Oryctolagus cuniculus: one gene and its partner. The protein of the gene in region 2 purifies or fractionates together with the protein of the main gene of each other region. This does not show direct contact. Links are inferred from orthologs where the notes say so. Each region holds a gene or a part of one and is shown on either strand. Other genes may lie near its edges. The genes, in order: FKBP8 and CDK20.

Region 1 (8,970 bases), on a different chromosome or scaffold from region 2:
CGGGGACTCATTTGGTCTGGCCCTGGCCCCAGGGTTGGGGGGGGCTGGCGGGATCTGGCCCGCGGTCACCTTTGGCGCTGGAGGTGATGGCCTTGATGGCCAAGTCGTACGAGTTGGCGGCCAGCACGAAGTCCGCCCGCTGGTAGTGGGCGTTGCCACACTCCCGCTTCCGGTTGGCCAGGGCCACGCGCTCCTGCCCCGTGAGCATCTCCAGGTCCGGCCCGTCCACCGCCGTCTTCAGCGTCACCTCCAGGCACAGGGCCGCGTGCGGGGGGATGTAGGGGCTCCTGCTGGGGAAGTAGGGACGGGCGGGGGTGGCACTCAGACCCGGGGAGCCCCAGCCCCGGCCAGACCAGGCAGGGGTGGCTCTCAGACCTGGGGAGCCCCAGCCCCGGCTGGACGAGGCAGGGGTGGCTCAGACCCGGGGAGCCCCAGCCCCAGCTGGACCAGGCAGGGGTGGCACTCAGACCCGGGAGCCCCAGCCCCGGCCGGACCAGGCAGGGGTGGCTCTCAGACCCGGGGAGCCCTGGCCTGGACCAGGCAGGGTGGCTCTCAGACCCGGGGAGCCCTGGCCTGGACCAGGCAGGGTGGCTCTCAGACCCGGGGAGCCCTAGCCCAGATCAGGCGGGGGTGGCACTCAGACCCGGGGAGCCCCAGCCTGGACCAGGGTGGGGTCTTCATCCGCCCCGTCCTCGGAAACAGCCCGGAAGTCCCACCTGCCGGCCCCTGCTGCGTAACTTGTGCAGTGAGTGCCCTCTCTGGACCTCAGCTTGCTCTTCCGTAAAATGGGCAGACAGGCTGCTGGCTGCCACGCCTGTGTCTCCTATCAGAGAGCCTGTGTTCGAGTCCTGGCGCCAGCTCCCTGTGCATGTGCACCCTGGGAGGCAACAGGTGATGGCCCAGCTACCTGGGTCCCCACCACCCACATGGGAGACCTGGATGGAGCCCCTGGCTCCTGGCTTTGAGGCTACTGGGACCACTTAGGGGAATGAACCAGCAGCTAAATCTCTCTGTCTCTCCTACTCTCTGTCACTCAGCTTTGCAAATAAATAAATCAATCTTAAAAGAAAAGTAAATATGGCAAGCAGCGGGCGCCAGCCTCCCTCCCCTCCGCCCGGGTCCCCTGGGCGCTCACCTGCCCTGCGGGCCGTAGCAGTACTTGGAGTCAGCAGTGACCATGGCCGTCTCACCCACGTCCATGAGCGGGACGCTGAGGTCCAGGGCCTGGTGGGGGGAGCCAGTGAGAGTCAGGCGGCCCCAGGCCCCCCTCCACCGACCCATGCCATGCCCTCTGTCCTAAGCTCCGCCCACACCCACCTGGCCCCCTCTGCACCACCCTCTGCCCGCCCACACCACGCCCTCTGACCCGAGCTCCACCCACACCACGCCCTCTGCCCCAGAGCTCTGCCAATGCCCCGCCCCACCCTCCATCCACCCACGCCCAAAATCTGCCCACACCCCCTGCCCCAAGCTCTGCCCACACTGCGCCCTCTGTCCCGAGCTCCACTCCATGTCTCCCCCACTCCACTCGCCTACACCACGCCCTCTGCCCCGAGCTCCGCCCATGCCCTGCCCTCCACCCCACCAGGCCACCTGCCCCGCCCACACCACGCCCTCTGCCCTGAGCTCCACCCACACCACGCCCCACACCTCTGCCCCGAGCTCCGCCCATGCCCTGCCCTCCACCCCACCTGGCCATCTGCCCCGCCCACACCACGCCCTCTGCCCTGAGCTCCACCTGCACCCAGCCCCACCCTCCGCCCCGCCCACGACACGCCCTGTGCCCCAGCTCCTCCCATACCCCGCCCTACCCTCCACCCCCCCAGCCCTCAGCCTCCCAGCTCCGCCATGCCACACCCTCTGCCCTACCTGGCCCTCTGTACCGTCCTCTGCCCCGCCCACGCCCCACCCTCCACCCACCCACACCACGCCCTCTGCCCCAGCTCTGCCCATACCCTGCCCTCCACCCCCACCAGGCCATCTGCCCCGCCCACACCCTCTGCCCTGAGCTCCTCCGCCTGCACCCAGCCCCACCCTCCGCCCCGCCCATACCCCCGCCCTACCCTCCACCCCCCCAGCCCGCTGCCCCAGCTCCGCCATGCCATGCCCTCTGCCCCCAGCACCGCCCACCTCCCCTGCCCCAGCTCCGCCCTTCACCCCACCCGGCCCTCCGCCTGCCCCGCCCACCTGGATCACGTCGCAGTCGCCCAGGGTGAACACCAGCTCGGGCTCCTCCTGCACGCGCGTGCCGTTCTCCAGCGACGTCTGCAGCTGCACCGTGACCACCTGGCCCTTGGAGGGCCGGCTCGAGCCGGGCGGCCCGGGGACCAGGGTCTTCTTCCTCAGCAGCCCGTTCCCTGGGGCGGACGGAGAACACACGGCGTCACCCGGGGCCTGCGCTCCGGGGGGACAGGGCCGCCCACGGGCCCATCTCAGGAGAGGGCGGCGCGGGAGAAGGGCGGGGACAGCTGGCAGGGGGTGACGCAGCGGGTGAAGCCGCCGCCCGCCCGCGACACCGCTGCTCGGCTTCTGACCCAGCCCCCGGCTAAGAGCGGGTGTTGGCCCAAGTGCTACAGCCCCTGCCCCTGCGTGGGAGACCCGGATGGAGCCCCCGGCTCCTGGCTTCAGATCGGCCCAGCTCCGGCCATTGTGGCCATCTGGGGAGTGAACCAGCGGATGGAAGACCTCTCTCTCTCTCTCTGCCTTTCTCTCTCTCACTGTAACTCTACCTCTCAAAAAATGAAATATTAAAAAAAACAGAAACAGAGCCAGAGTACTTGGCAAAGGCGGCCCCTGGTCCCCCCTCAAAGGGAACAGTGTCTGCGCTGGCAGCCGCCCCCACACCACCGCGGGAACGGCCACGTGGCTCAGCGCCCACGGTGGCCCCACGCACACACTCAGGGCAGGCCATAGAGGCAGGGGGACGGCGAGCCGCCTGGGCCGGGACCCGCAGCCCAAAACCTCCCGCAGGGCCCTCCCAAGTGTGTACGAAGCCCCAGCAAGGCTGCCCGACCCGGCCTGTGGCTGCACACATCCACACACTTCCCTGTGTTCTGGAATGTCCCAGCGCTCCGGGACACTTCACAAGCCTGAGTGGACCGAGCCTACAGGTTAGGGACACATATCCCAGAACCTTCTAGACTGCTGGGGTGCTCCCCAACTTCCTACAGGCCCCACGTCCAGTGTGGGAACCCCCACATCTCGAGGCTCACGGGCACCAGGTGCTGACCTCGGGGAGCGCCGGCACAAACTAAACCAATAAACCAACAGCGCCAAGCTCGGGGGACCGGGAGCTCGGCAGCTATCCGCAGGCACCGGCAGGGGGCGCTGTGTGACCTCGGGCAAGCATCTGTGAAATGGGGATGGGGTGGTCACAGACACGGGGCCCGCACCCCCGTATCGGAGCGCCTGGTTCCAGTCCTAGCAGCCCTGCGTCCAGAGCCAGCCCCCTGCGCACGCGCACCCTGGGAGACGGCAGTGACGGCTCAAGGACTCGAGTCCCTGCCACCCACGTGGGAGCCCCGGGATGGAGCTCCTGGCTCCCGGCTGCAGGAGACCGGCCCAGCCCCGGCTGCTGCTGGCATTGGAGAGTAAACCAGTGGACGGATGGCCTCTCTGTCTCATTCAAATAAATAATCTTAAAAAAAAAAAAAAAAAGGCGTGCAGGCCAGGCCAGCCTCAGTACTCCCTGGGGTTATTTTTAGAGGTAGCGGGGATTCGGATGAGTGGCGGTGCGGGTGGTGGCATTTCTGCTCCTTGGTGCCGTGGCTGGGGTGTCGCTGTCGGCCCCGCACCCGCGTGGGCACCGCACTGCTCGGTAGGGAGACACCCACGCCCTCCACGGAATACTAATGAGTCCCGGGATGGGGGGGCGGGCTCACCTGGTCCCTGCCTTCAGAACGGTTCACAAAGACCGCATGGAGCAGCTCCCACCACCCACCCCCACCCCACCCCACGGCTCAACTGCACAACCCGACCTCAGTGTCACCCGAGGGCTGGGCAGAGATGCAGTGGGGGCAGGGAGCTGCGGGCGCCGGGCTGCTGTGCGGCTCCGGGCAGGTGACTCAGCCTCCCTGGGCCTCTTGGCAGCTCTGTGTGTGTGTGTGTGTGAGAGAGAGAGAGAGAGAGAGCGAGAGCGCCAGGAGTGGACTTCAGCAATTGTCACGCGGCTGTCACCAAGGTCAGCCCCAGACCCCGCCGCTCCTTACCCAGGATGTCCAGCCACTCCTCGGGGGCCGGCGCCGGGGCGGGCTCCGGCTCCATGGCAGCCAGGAACTCCCGGGCCAGGGCCCCCGGCTGCTCCTCGGCCTTGTCCGGCGGGGGCTGTGCCATGTCCTCAAGTGGCGGCAGCTCGCTCAGGTCATCGTCCTCCTCCTCCTCCTCCTCCGCTTCGGCCTCCTCCACCCCGTCCAGCACCTCAAAGTCCTCCAGCGGCGGGACCCCAGCCGGCGGCGGGGCCCTGGGCTCCGAGGGCTCGGCGCAGGAAGCCATGGTGCTGGGGGCACGGGAACTGGCCCTGGGGACAGGGGGGACGGACAGGAGGGAGGTAAGCCCCCCGGAGTCTCCTCTGTCCCACCCCTCCCCACACACACCCAGGGCTGACCACTAGCAGGGGGACTCGGGAACTCCCGGGCCTCAGTCCTCTCATCCGTACAGTGGGTACAACAACCCGGAAGGGAATTCAAAACAACCCACGCCTCAAACGCCAGGCATGAGGCTGAGAGTGTTAGCTATTATTAGAGCTAATGATTATTTAATTTTTATAAACATCTCAGCAAGTAGGAACCGTCCCTCTCCACACACAGCCCCCCCACCCATTCTGCAGATTAGAAAACAGACCCAGCGGGGCAAAGGTAGGGGTCCAAGGTCACACGGAGCAATCGCAGGGCAGGGACAGACCCTGGGGGCTTTCTGGGACTGCATGCCAAGGGCGGGTGCTGGGGGCGACGGAGCACCCCCAGGCCTCAGGGAAGCCATCTTTAGGGCTCCCAGGCTATGTGGGGAATGGATTCCAGCCAGGGCCTGCCCACCTCCACCTGCCCCTTCTCCCCAGGGGAGCCAGCTCCTCCGACAGACATGGACACCACCACCCACACCCCCGCCCCAGCCTTCTCCTTCCTCACCCTCAGCTAATCCTGACCCCCAACTCCTATTTCGGGGACCCTGGCGCTAACCCACTTCCATCAGGCCCCCTTGGGCCCCCCACCAAGCAGCCTTCGAGGGAGAGACCCCCACCCCACCCCACCCGCCCGGCCTGGCCCTGGCTTGTTCCTAGTTTTTTCCCTGCCCAGGCCTGCTGGGAGCCCCTAGCCCTAGCGACCCCCAGGCTCCCTCAGGCCCCAAGCGCCCAGGAACCCGCAGTACCGCCTCCCTAACCCTCACCTGCCCGCCGCTTCCGGGGCTCGGGCCCCCCACAACCCCCTGCGAACGCACGAATGCCCCCCGCCCCCAGCCGGGCCAGCCCCCCCCACGGCCGCTCGGTCGCCCCGGCGTCCCCTGCCGCTCCCCTCCCGACCCTCAGCACCCTCCGCCCCCGGGACGCCCCCAGCGCCCCACGCCCGTCTGACGCCACCAGTTCAGAGCCCCCCGACCCCCGCGAGCACCCCCGGCCCTGCACGCAGCGATCGGCAGCGCCCCCCGCGGGCTCTCCCTCGCTCCCTCGGGCCGCCAGCCCCGTCGCTCCCAGCAGGCCGAGCCCCCCTAAGGCACCCCCGACCCCCGCGCCCCGCGCTCGCCTCCCCCGCGGCCCCTCGCCCCGCCCATCGGCCGCGGCCCCCGCCGCGCCGAGCCCCGGAACCCGCCGAGGCCCGAACGGTGGCCCCGGCCAGCGCGACCCCGCCGGCGCCCCGGGACACGTGCCTCCGGCTCCGGGACCCCCGCCTGGGGTCCTGCGCCCCCCTCCCCGCCCCCAGCCGCGGCCGCCGCGCCTCGGGAACCAGGTTCGGGCGCCGGGCCCCACCCCCGCTGTGCTCATTGGCCGCCGCCGCCGCCACTGCCGCGCGTATTGGCTTGCGCGCACGTCCGTCTCGGGCGCGGGCACCGCCCCCTTCCTGCTTGGCTCCGCGGGGCGTTCTTAAAGGGGCCGACGCCTCCCGGCCGCTCAGGGCGGGGGCGGGGGGCCTCTGGGATGGACTTCGACCGCGGGTCCGCGCCGCACCGCCCGGCGCCGCTCCCGGCTCGGGTCTGAGCTTTCGTCTGCTGAATGGGGATAAACCCCCCGCCACGCTCGCACTCTCGGGGGGCCGCGGGGAGGGGCCTTAGGAAGCGCCGGCTGGGTCCGGGGAGCCCACCCCGAGGCCCCAGCTCTGCGAGGCGCCGGGGTGGGGGGTCGGGGGCAATGTGCCCAAGGACACCGCGTTCCCCCCACCCCGCGGGGTCTCTGTCTTCCTGGAGGGTTCCCTGATGCATGCAGAAGGCGCTCAATAACGGCTGGGTGGGCGGGCAGCTGAGCGCGCAGGGGCCCCAGAGAGGTCCCTGCTGCACGCTCGCTCGGACACAGGGCGAGGGGGCGCGCGCGCGGCCAGGCCGGACAGAGTTTCTCCGCTTGTTTTGAAGCCGGGGCACTGGCTCCTCCCTCGCAGGTTCACTTCCTCCTGGGCAGCCGCCCCTTTCCAGAAAGATCTGCGCGTTCCTTGGCTTAGAGGTGCGCTCCCACATCCCCAACCCCCACTTCGCTCTGTCCTGGCGGGGAGTTTATTTTTCTTTTTTCCTGTTTTGCACCCAGCGCCTCCCCGATGGGTGACGCGGTTGCGAGGCAATGCAGTGATTCAATAGTTGAACAAATGAATGCAGTGAATAAATGAATGAGATCCCAGTCAGCTTCCTCCAGGGAGCCCTCCCTGACCACCCCCACGGCAAGACCAGGTTAGCCTGGTGGTTTACAACATCTAGCCGCTTTGTCGAATTATTTGAAAGGCAGAGAGAGAGAGAAAGAAAGAGAGAGAGAGAGAGAGAGAGATCTTCCACCTGGGTCACTCCCCAAGTACTTACAACAGCCAAGTCTGGCCCGAGCTAAAACCCAGAGGCCGGAGCTGCATCCGGGTCTCCCACGTGGGCGGCTGGGCGCCCAGCGGCAGAGGGCTGGATCGGAAGGGGAGGAGCCAGGATTCGAACCCAGGACACATGCTTCCCAAGAACGCCTGCCCCGGTTAGTTCACCTCTGCCTGGCCCACCGCACACCTGCTGCGGGATCCCAGCCCCCACTCCCCCAGCCCTGAGGCCTGAGCACCTGCCAGGCACGAGGTCCCGGGCACCCAGGGAAGTCGCTGCGAAAGGCAGGCCATACAGAACCAGCAGGGGGCCGTGAGAAGTCACCAAGGCAGGGGCATCACACAAACCCTAGGCCAGGGGCCGGCGCTGTGGCGTAGCCAGTAAAGCTGCAGCCTGTGGTGCCGGCATCCCATGGGGCACCGGTTCGAGTCCCAGCTGCTCCACTTCGGATCCAGCTCCCTGCTAATGTTCTGGGAAAGCGGTGGCCGACAGCCCGAGTGCTTGGTCCCCTGCCAGGCACAGGCAGACCCTGGTGGAATGCTTCCTGGGCCTCACACAGAGTCCGAGGGTCAGGTCCCCCCGGGAGGGAACTGGCCGCCGTCCTGTGCTCCCCTAATCTCGAGCGTGGACTCTGCACGCCGGTCTCGCCTTTGGCTTGTACTTGGTCACTTACTTGAAAGGCAGAGAGAGGGAGAGAGAGAGAGAGAGAGAGGGAGGGAGGAAGACGGAGAGGGAGAGAGATTCAGCCCCAGACGCCCACAGTGGCTGGGGCTTAAACCAAGAGCTGGGTGCTCAGGTGAGGCTCCCGCGTGTGCTGGGCGGCCGGGGGGACCCAGTCACCCTGCATCCTCACTGCCACCCCTGGGGTCTGCGCAGGCAGGGCCGGGGCCAGGAATCAGACCCAGGAGCTCCCCGGTGGGCGTGGGCATCGTGGGCACCGGCCTTGATGCCGGCCCGTCCCTGCCTTTTACCGCCAGTATTTGATCTATTTACAGTTGATGTAATTTTGGACACATTTGGATATAAACCTTCACCACTCTGTGTTCCTGTTTCCTAAGATTTAGTTATTTGAAAGGCAGAGTGAGAGAGGGATCGATCGATCTTCCAATCACTGGTTCACTTGACAGACGGCCAGAGCTGAGCCAGGCCAAAGCCAGGAGCCAGGAGCTCCATCCGGGTCTCCCACACGGGTGCAGGGGCCCAAGGACCTGGGCCGTCCTCCACTGCTTTCCCAGGCCACAGCAGAGCTGGATGGGAAGTGGAGCAGCCGGGACTCGAACCCGTGCCTACATGGGATGCTGGCACCACGTTGGCCTTCTTTAGGGACGAATGGGGGTATCTGGTACGACTCCCGAGAGCTTCCTGTATGGCCAGGGAAACGGAGGCATGGCGTAGCTTGTTCAAGGTCGCGGCCATGGAGGGCAACGTGGGCCAGGTCCCCTCCCTGGCCAGGGTGGCCAGTGGCTGAGCCCACCCGGGGACACGCGTGGAGCAAACGCAACCAAAACAGGGCGGAGGAGGGGGCTGCGAGTGCCCTCCCATGGGTCTCTCCTGCTGGACGGGGCGGCCCTGCGCTCACCACCCTCTCCCGTAAACACACAGGACACCAGGACATTTCGTCTCCAGTCCTCGGGGCCCCCAAGTCCCTCTGTCCCTACCCGTCTGGGGCTCCCAGAAACGTGCCCCGGCCTCTGGCAGGGCCCCCTGCGGCAGCCTGCACACGGCCATGGATCGAGCAGCTTCCCCCAGCAGGGCCCCTCTCTCAGCTCTTGGCCGCCGCGGGCTCACCGAGCCCCCCCCCCCTTACAACGGTCAAGCCCACACCGTGTGGTTTCCCATCATCGTTTCTTACAGCCCCAAGTCACGTCCACTGCCTGCAAAACTCCTACTCCAACCTCAAAACCCCAGCTAGATGGGGTTTGCCTCCCCGCAACCTCCCTTGCTCCCAAAACGAGCGCTCACAACGGCTCAGGTTCCTGC
Region 2 (9,484 bases):
TACGTCTAAACACCATTCTAGAGCCTGGGCACACCAATGAGCAAAACGGACAAAAACTCGGGCTCATGGATAGAATGGGGGGGGGGGTAATAAATAAGATCGAGTAACATGCATGGTACACCAGAAAAGGATCAGTGCTATGGGAAAGGGAACAAGGGCTGGGGAGGCTGCAGGCTGCTGAGCAGTGAGGGCCTCCCACGAGGCGAGTGAGCAAAGGCCTGCGAGGTGAGCCAGGGCGGGGGAGAGGGGCACAGGAGGGCCTGATCGGAGTGCTGCAGGCTAGGAACAGATGTCCACGGACCCCAGGGCAGCATCCTCATGTGTTCTAGGACATGGAAGCAATCCTGGGGCTGGAGAGGAATCAGCACAGGGAACAAGAGTGGGCAAGGTCCAGAGGTGACTGCGCCTGAGGCTGCAACACCTGTGGGTCACGAGGGGGACCCTGGCTTTCCCTGCGAGTGAGGTGGAGCCACAGCAGGGCCTGGCAGAGGACGGGGTGTGACTTGCTCTCCTCAGTCAAGGTCACTCCTCTGCCAGGTGGAAGAGAGAGTACAGGGGACGAGGAGGGATGCAGATTCTGGGAGGCAACTGCGCAGAGAGGCGAACAGAGCCCACAGGCGCTGCCACAAGTGGGGACCCCCCAGGGTATGCACAAGCACAGGCTGCTGGTGCCAGCAGCAGAGGCAATGAGAGGCCAGCAGGCCCGCAGGTCCCGTCTGCCTGACAGCTAGGCCCTGACACCCTCCAGGGAGGGCTCCTCGGTGCTCACCACCCTTCCCTGCCTTCTAGTCACAACCAGCTTTCGGGGTCCTTACCCTCTAGGCCACTGCTCACCATTTCCCGCTTCAGCAAACCCCTCTTCAAGCTTAAACCTCACCTGTCAGGCAGGTTGCCTTGGCCCGCCCTGCACCTGGGGCTACCACACTCCTGCCTGCCTGGAGCCCCAGATGCAGGGCTGCTGTTACGATGCCCGGCACATGCTAGAGCTGAGTGAATGCTGCTGAGGAGAGAGCACGCGAGCCCTCAGTGACTCGGCTACGCCTGCCGCGTGGCTCAAGGCTCAGGGCAGCCTGGGACCCCGCACACCAGACGTGCACTTCCCTGCGGACAGGCATGCACCCTCCAACAGGTCACTCTCTCTCCTGCTGGGGGTGTCCAGCGGGCTCTGCTCATGAGAGGCACACTGGCCTGGGGCCCCTGTCCTGGGTATACCCATGTACAATAGGTTCTAAAGGGTGCTGACTTGGGGAACCACGGCTACCAAGTGCAGAGTCAGGTCAACAGGGAGCTGATGGAGCAGCCCAGGGCCTCCAGCCTACCTGGGAGGCCAGGATGCGCTGGCGAGGCGGGTACAGCAGGAACTGACCCAGCAGGTCCAAGGCCTGAGGAGACGCATCCGGCAGCACCTCCTCCAGGGGCACAGGTGCCTGCTCCTTGAAGGAGATCTTGTTGTAGTCGGGCAGCTCCGTAATCTCCTGAGACGCAAAGAGGAGGGAGCACCTCAGAGCCCGCGCTGCCCTCACTGCTCAGTACCAGGTCTCAGGGCCTCGCTGTCTGCTCTCTCATCCACCCGGCCCCCCCATCATCCACTCACGCTCCCTGACCCTCCTGGGCATCTGCCCCAGGCCCAGCTTGCTGAGGTGCTGTGTATGCCAGGTGGGCAGGACAGGAGGGGGGACCCTGGCACTGGGCCTAGACAGTGGTCCCTGTTGGTCAAGGGAGGCTGGGGTCATGAGAGAGAAGGTGCAGGGCAGGGAGCAGTTACTTGCTGTTGTGGACTGGAGCAAATCTGCCCCCAAACCCTCCCCACCAGGGGCCCCTACAAACCGGCCAGACTTGAGGGCTGGGGGTGCCCAAGATGCGAAGCACACAGCAAAGCTGTTCAATGTCGTTCTCACCCGGGAAGAGAGGGGACCCGTTCAACAGCTCCCCCATGATGCAGCCTACAGCCCTGCGGATACAGAACACCGAGCAGATCTCACGCCATGGGACAGACCTCCAGACCAGCTCCAGCACTGCACACCAGGGCTTCATGTCCACAGGTGCAGACTCCCAATCAAGAACCTCAACCCTAGAACACAAAGCAAACCCCAACAGCCCTGAGACCTCTCAGAGCCTCATGCTCTGGGACACACACACACACACACACACACACTCCTCTTTCCACAGCAAATCTACAAAACAGCTCTGAATCTCAGATGCCGGGGTACCACCACCATCTGCTCCCCAAGAAGGCTCAGGGACTTCACACCCTGGGACACAGGCATTGGACTAGATGGGCAAGGTCACATGCTTGGGTCTTAGTCCTACACACACCAGCCAGACAAGAGGCTGCCCTCTGGGACAACCACTTTCCTCCCTCCCAACCCCAGGCTGCTCCAAAACCCTAATGAGGGCAGATCCCAGTCCTGCCAGGCAATCTGGAGCTCACAACGGAGAGGACACCAGAGCCTGGCAGGAGGCTACGACCACGGTGCCCCTTGCCTGGCATGGGAGTCTCACCACAGGTCAACACCCTGGTCATACTGGCGGGCACCATACAGGAGCTCCGGTGCTCGGTACCACCTGGGAGGAAGAGAGCTGGAGGTCAGAGCCAGGCCACCAGTCAGATGGGAGGCTGTCCTAGGTCACCCAAGCCCCACCTGAACCCACAAGCAATGTCGGGCAAGGAAACCAGAGCATCTCTTCCCCCAAGGGAGGGCAGGGGATCTGCTGCCCCTACCTGGTGGCCACCTGGTGTGTGTAGAGGCGGCTGCCATCTGGAGAAAAGACCCGGGCCAGCCCAAAGTCTGCAATCTTGAGCTGGCCTGAGGCACTGATGAGCAGGTTAGCAGGTTTCAGGTCCTGGGGGTATAAAAGGAGGCACCAGTCTCTTAATGCCTGGGGATGAGGGCCTAGGTCAGCTCAGACCCTTGATGCTCACCTGAAGGCCCTGGGACCCTCTGTCCCCTTCTGACCACAGCTTTATAAGGACTAGCCCACCCCGGCCCATGCTGGGACTGACCCGATGCACGATGTTGTTGGCATGGCAGAAGGCGACGCCCTTGAGCAGCATCTGCAGATAGCTCTTGACTTGTGCAGGGGCCAGCGGCCTCTGGGCATGGCGCACCACCTCGGCCAGATCCGACAGCATGAACTCAAAGGCCAGCACGAAGCCTGCACCATGCGGGAACACGGCCTTCAGCTGCACCACCTGTGGGCAGGCATCCTGTAAACCCCCTCTGCGGGCAGAGATGGCAACACGTGACCTGACCTCAGAACCAGGATGCTTAGCGCTCATGCTGCTCTGCCCTCCTGAGCCAACACAGGTCCCCACCCCATGCTCCTGGGACACTCAGGGAACCCCATGCTCCTGGGACACCCAGGGAAAAGGTCTGTAGAAGGTTACTTGATGGGCAGCATCCCCACCCACCCACCTGGACATACACACGGCACAAGCAGAGTTCTTCCTGTTTCCTTGGCAGCCATTAAATGCAAGCACCAAGGGCAGGGTGCCAAGATTCACACCTGCCCAGTGCTGGGAGAGCTAAAGACACATCACACGCCCTGAGGCTACCAGTGAGTCCAGGGAATCAGAAGACAGGACTAACAAAGTGCCAAGGGTGCCAAGTGTGCTAAGCGGTTGATAAATAAACAAAGGGATATGTTCAGGGCTGATACACACAAGACAGACATATGAAGGTAATTCCCAAAAGTCTGTGGGAAATAGAATTTTAAAAAGTTTAGTACAAAAAATGTTTGAAATCTAGTTTTTTCACAACATGTACCTTTTCAAGAACTCTCTGAAGACTTCTTGTATACTAAGGTGGTGTAATTCTTCAACTGGAGAAAAGGATTCCTTATTTACATGGGGCAGGGGCAGGGAGGGGCTCCTCAGGGAGCCAGTTACGCAGAGAACTGGGAAAAAGCAGTGGGCAGTGGGACACCAGGTGCAAGACCTCAGTGGGCGCAGGAGGGGGAGGGACATGGACACTGGAGGTGGTCTGGGGGAAGAAATGGGTCTGCTCCGCTCTGTGCCTAGGAAGCTCTAGGATAGGACTGGACAGGGACAGTGGCTGGAGATGGGCACAAAGCGACTGTGCCCCAAATGTGAAGAGAAGCCCCTGGGGTTCTCTAAGCGGGGAGAGGACGATTCAATTTCCATTCTGGACAGAACCCTCTGAACTCTAGCCTGGGGAGCAATCTACAGGTTGGTGCAATCTTTCTGGTGAGTGGTGAGGGTGATCCAGGCCAGGAACCAATCCAGAGCATGTTTTAAAGAACCTTCAGGAATGCTGACCACTGGACACAGGGACCACATCACTGCCCTCCTTATGGAGCTCTCTCTCCCAAAATCAGCTGTCTGCAAGTTCTTTTGTTTTGCCTGAAAAATTAGAATGGCTGTATTGCTGCTTTTCTGGTAGTACATATTCATTTCACAGATCAAAACACATGCACACAGACAGTACACAAAATTATAAGGGAAAGAAAAACTCAAGTACCTGTAGTCCATCTTGGAGTACACTCTACCAGACTTTACAGTAGGTAGGCACACACATATACACACAGGTAAGTGTTTTCATACAAAACAAGGATGACACAGAAAGCTTTAGAACATCCTTTTATCGCCCAGTGTATCATGGACATCTCCAGAAGACAATGAACACAAGTCACGCGACCACAGAGACTCTGTCACTTGGCAGGAGACCAGCTCTGTACTCCAACATAGATTAAGAGAGGACCATAGAGAGTAATGACGCTGGGGGTGTGAGAGGTCCCTCTCACTGCCATAACTCTTCCTGGCAACTTGTCACAGCACAAACCGCATCAGACGGATCCCGTCACCCCCGACACCACACTTAAGTTCCTAGGAGCTGGGTTGGGCCAGCTCCTCTCTGAACCATCAGAACAAACCCAGGAAAGAGCCTGCTACATACAGGAGGCCACAAGGGCTGAATGTCTGGACTCCACTGAGCAGCTGCGGGCCTAAGAGCAGGTGACCTAACCTCCTCCCACTGCCTGAGAAACACATTCTGAAACACACCACGCACAGGGGCAGAGGGCTCCGGACCACAGTGGTGTCAAGCCCTCGGCACAGCCTGCAGGACACATGAGCTCAGCGAGCGCTTTCTATCCCCATCAGAAATCACTAAATGCTTCGAGAAGGAGAATAAGAAAATGAGATCATAAAGAACTAGGTGCTAAACCAGAAAGTAAATGAGTGAGGAATTGGATGAACGAGGGTGAACAAGCAGACACAAACGGCCTAACTAAGGGATACGGAGGAGGCAGACGAAAGGGCGGAGTGAGGAGCGCACAGAGGGAATCCTGGAGGCGTTTGAAGGGGTGAGTGAGTGAAGGCAGGAGAGAGTGGGGATGAGGGAGACAGGAAGCGAAGGCGATGCCCGCCGACGCCCCGACGCCCCGCTCCGCCAGGCCGGGCCCCCACTTACATACTGATTGTCCTCGATCTCCTGCAGAGCCTTGATCTCCCGCAGCGCCTGGTTGGGGATGCCATCCTCCAGCCGACGCAGCGCCACCTTCTTGAGGGCGACGATCTCGCCAGTCTGCACAGGAAAGAGCGCGGACACTGCCAGCCCGACCCCGGGACGGAGGCAGGCAGGGCGAGAGACAGGTGTGAGAGGGGGAGGCTTCGTTAGCCGGGTAAACGGGAGCCACGCCGGGGCTCAAGCCGGGGCCAGAGGACGGGTGGCGCGGGCGCCGCGCCCACAACCTGTCCGAACACAGGCCGGGCACCGCCCCCCGACGCGATCCGAGCAGGGGGGCACCCGTTCTCACCTCCACGTGCTTGGCCTTGAAGACGATGCCATGGGCGCCCTCGCCGATGCGGCCCAGGATGCAGTACTGGTCCATGGGCGCCCAGGCTCCCAGCCCGGCCAGCCGCTCAGAGCCCGACGCGGTCGCCTAGCAACACCGCGGCGGGCCCCCGAGCCTGCCACCGGGGACCTAGGCGGCCCCAGTCAGGGACGCTCTCCGTCCTAGGCCCGACTGTCTTTCCTTTCTCTCCGCTGTCCCGCAGCAGGGCGGCTTAACCCCGCATTAGGTCACCCAAGCCCGGAGAACTGCCCAGCGCCAGGCCGCGGAGCAATGGCCGCCGGCCCCGCGTCACGTGACGGGGCGGGGGCGGGGCTGCGAGGAGGGGCGGGGCCGCCAGGCGAGGGGGCGGGGTGGGTGTCTCACCCCGCACGCCGGAGGCTACCGGCCTGTAGCACGCGTGTTGCGGGTCTCCGCCACAGGCATGTCTTTCTGCCCGTGGTGACGGCAGGCGGGCTAGGCCTGCGGCGTGGGGAGGTGAGCGCTTCCTGTCTGGACCATGGTCCATCAGCGCCGTGAACTCATACCTTTCAGAGGGCGGACTCTGACCCTGAAAGGACCGAAAACACAAGACGCCTCTATGGAAAGACGCTCAACCTTATTACACACAGTAAGACAAATGCAAAATGCATCCACGGTTTCCCACCTCGCCAATGCAATATAATGTGGGTTTACAGATGAGTGAAATTTTTTTTTTTTTTATGTACAGGGATGGGAAGTTGCTAAAATTGTTAAGTAAAGGCGGCAGGCTGCAGGACCTGATAAATAGAGTGCCACCGACTGCATAACAAAAGCAAGAAAGAATATGAATTGGGGTGTGCATTTAGTGCAGCAGTTAAGAAATCACGCGGCATGCCTGCATCCCATGTCAAAGTGCCTGGGTTCGAGTCCCGGCTCTGCTCCCGCTTCCAGCTTCCTGCTAATGTGCACTGTGGGAGGCAGCAGTTAATGGCTCGAGTACTTGGGCCCCTGCCACCCACCTGGGAGACTCACACTGAGATGGGAGCTCCTGGCTTCCACCTGGTGTAGCCCCCTCTTGCAGGCATTTGGGGAGTAAGGAGGTGGAAGATCTCTCGCTCGCTCACTCTCACTCTCTTCTCTCTCTGCCTCTGAAATAAATAAACTTTTTTAAAAATATTTTAATTATGAAGATAGATACGGTAGTAGAATGGGAAAAGGATGGTTTTCAGAAAATAACATGGGGCCGGGGCTGGATATTGATCCAGATTTCATACCATCGCAAAGCCAAAACCAACTCCAGATGGACTGCAGAGCTAAACAGGAAAGGTAAATAATGAAGCTTTTTGAAGAAAACAGCATCTTACTTATATGCTTTGGATTAGGTAGATGGAGTTTCTTAAGTTACCAGAAACACTATAAGGGAAGTGAAACACTATAAGGGAAATTGGACTTCATCAATAGTCAGAACATTTTTTTAAAGATTCATTTTATTATTTTTTTATTTGAAAGGCAGAGTTACAGAGAGAGAGAAGGAGACACAAAGACGGAGAGAGATCTTCCATCTACTGGTCCATTCCCCTCAAATGGCTGCAAAATAGCCGGGGCTGGGCCAGACAGAAGCCTGGAGCCAGGAGCTTCATCCAGGTCTCCCATATGAGTGCAGGGGCCCAAGCACTTGGGCCTCTTCCAAGGTTTCCCATGTTGGATTGGAAGTGCAGCAGCTGGGACATGGCATTGCAGGCTGGGGCGTAACCCACAGCACTGGCCCTGTATAGTGAGAACATTTATTCATCAAAATATGCCATTAGAATGTGAGCAGGAAAGCGATGGTGAAGAAGAAGAAAACTGTAACCATATATCTGACAAAGAATTTGTAAGGAACTCTTAGAAAACAAGCAGTATGGGCCAGCATTGTGACATAGCGGGTTAAGCTGCCACCTGTGATGCTGGCATCCCATATGAGTGCTGGTTTTTGTCCCAGCCACTCCACTTCCTATCCAGTTCCCTGCTAAATATATCTGGGAAAACAGCAGAAGATGCCCCAAGTGCCTGGGTCCCTGCCACCAGTGTGGGAGACCGGGATGCAATTCCAGGCTCCTGGCTTTGTCATGGCCTAGCCCTGGCCATTGTGGCCAAATTTGGGGAGTGAACTAACAGATGAAAGATCTCCCTCTCACTCTGTAACTCTGTCTTTTAAATAAATTTTTTTTTAATTTAAATCCATGTATAGTTTTTCATAATAGGAATTTTTCCATGAAATTTTGAAGTACTATTATATGTATGTATGTGTGTATATTAGCATATATACATATATAAATGCACCCTATGGCCTAGTTCTACTCCTGAGATTTTAACTTGACAGACTGTATAAAGAAGAAGAAAAGGAGGGGGAGGAGGAAGAGGAAGAAGAAAAGTATTCATATATACAGTCAAGTGTTGCTTAGTGATGGGATAAATTCTGAGAAATGCATATTTAGATGATTTTGTCATTATGTGAACATCATCATAGAATTTACTTACACAAACTAAGATGGCTATGACATTACTATCAACTTGTGAAACCACCATAGTATACGTGATGCAATGTTGACCAAAGTGTATGTTCACCAGAGACACACAAGAATTCTTGTATAGCATAGGGCTCTTTTAAATAACACAAACCTGGAAACAGTCCACAAAGAATGAATAAATTGTGCAGTGCTTACCTGATGGAGTTTTAAACAGAAATAAGAATGAATGAAGTGTCACTACTGCCGACAACATAGATAAATCTGAAAACACAATAATGAGTGGAGAAACTGGGCAAAAAGAATGTATATTGTATTATTTATATATAAAAAAATTAATCTTCGGTGTAAGAAAACAGAAACACAGTAAGCCTCAGGAAGTGTCTGGAAAGGGCATGAGGGGGTTTGAGAATCTGGCAGCAGTGACAAACTTATGACTTGGCACTTTTCTGTGTATTTATAATGCTTTAAAAATATGAGGACATATGTAACATATGAATTCATTTCCCTTTGCAGAAAAATATATATTCTGGTTTTTAAAATGTAAGTCAAAAATAGTAGCTGGTTCACTACCCAAATGGTCAGTCACAATGGCCAGAGCTAGGCCGGTCCGAAACCAGGAGCCAGGAGCTTCCTCCAGGTCTCCCACCATCTGTTCCCACTCCCGTGGGCAAGCTCTCTGCTAACCACGGCTTCAGACCGTGAGTTCCTTCCAAGGACTGCAGGCTCCTTTCTGGGGTGGGCAGTGGGAGGAGCTGGGGATCCCAGACGCCTCTCTTTGATAATGTGTTGTAGGCAGCACGTCCCACCTGGTGTGGCTGCCTTCAAGCTTACTTTACTCAGCTTAACACATATAGGCTAAAAGACCAAGGGGAACCTGGAAGCCACCTTGCAGACATTCGGGAGGAGGAAGAGGGCATGAGTGATGGGAGCGTTTCAATGCAGTCGCCCAGAAAAGGGAAAATGCTCCTGGGGGCTCTGAATGGCTGTGAAGAGCAGGAGGTCAGCCTGGGCAGAGGCTAGAGTTTTGCCTAGATCTTGTATTTTGTCTGTTTTCTTCCTCATACTAAATTCTGTTTTGAGCTTACTCCCAAGTCAATGGGGAGTCTAACCAACTCCGATGGACTTAGGGGGCCACGCTAAAATCGAGGGTTGGGGGCTTTCTCAGCTCACAAGGGAAAATTCAAGCATTAATGTGTGGA

Evidence for each region.
Region 1: the proteins of CDK20 (region 2) and FKBP8 purify together in Homo sapiens (affinity purification with mass spectrometry; 5 studies listed by BioGRID and IntAct, with this or other methods). This does not show direct contact. The link is inferred for Oryctolagus cuniculus from reciprocal best matches to the Homo sapiens genes CDK20 and FKBP8.

Annotation. Positions count from the first base shown.
Region 1 is NC_091447.1:65,697,390-65,706,359, forward strand, and holds part of FKBP8 (peptidyl-prolyl cis-trans isomerase FKBP8), read right to left. Parts: intron 6,005-8,970; exon of another isoform or gene 5,860-6,004; intron 4,517-5,859; 5' UTR 4,492-4,516; coding exon 4,209-4,491; intron 2,358-4,208; coding exon 2,188-2,357; intron 1,225-2,187; coding exon 1,136-1,224; intron 291-1,135; coding exon 70-290; intron 1-69. UniProt on the Homo sapiens protein: Constitutively inactive PPiase, which becomes active when bound to calmodulin and calcium. Seems to act as a chaperone for BCL2, targets it to the mitochondria and modulates its phosphorylation state.
Region 2 is NC_091432.1:137,155,541-137,165,024, forward strand, and holds the start of CDK20 (cyclin-dependent kinase 20), read right to left. Parts: upstream 6,112-9,484; 5' UTR 5,854-6,111; coding exon 5,779-5,853; intron 5,547-5,778; coding exon 5,433-5,546; intron 3,222-5,432; coding exon of another isoform or gene 3,194-3,221; coding exon 3,005-3,193; intron 2,845-3,004; coding exon 2,723-2,844; intron 2,566-2,722; coding exon 2,503-2,565; intron 2,072-2,502; coding exon 1,828-2,071; intron 1,476-1,827; coding exon 1,320-1,475; intron 1-1,319. UniProt on the Homo sapiens protein: Required for high-level Shh responses in the developing neural tube.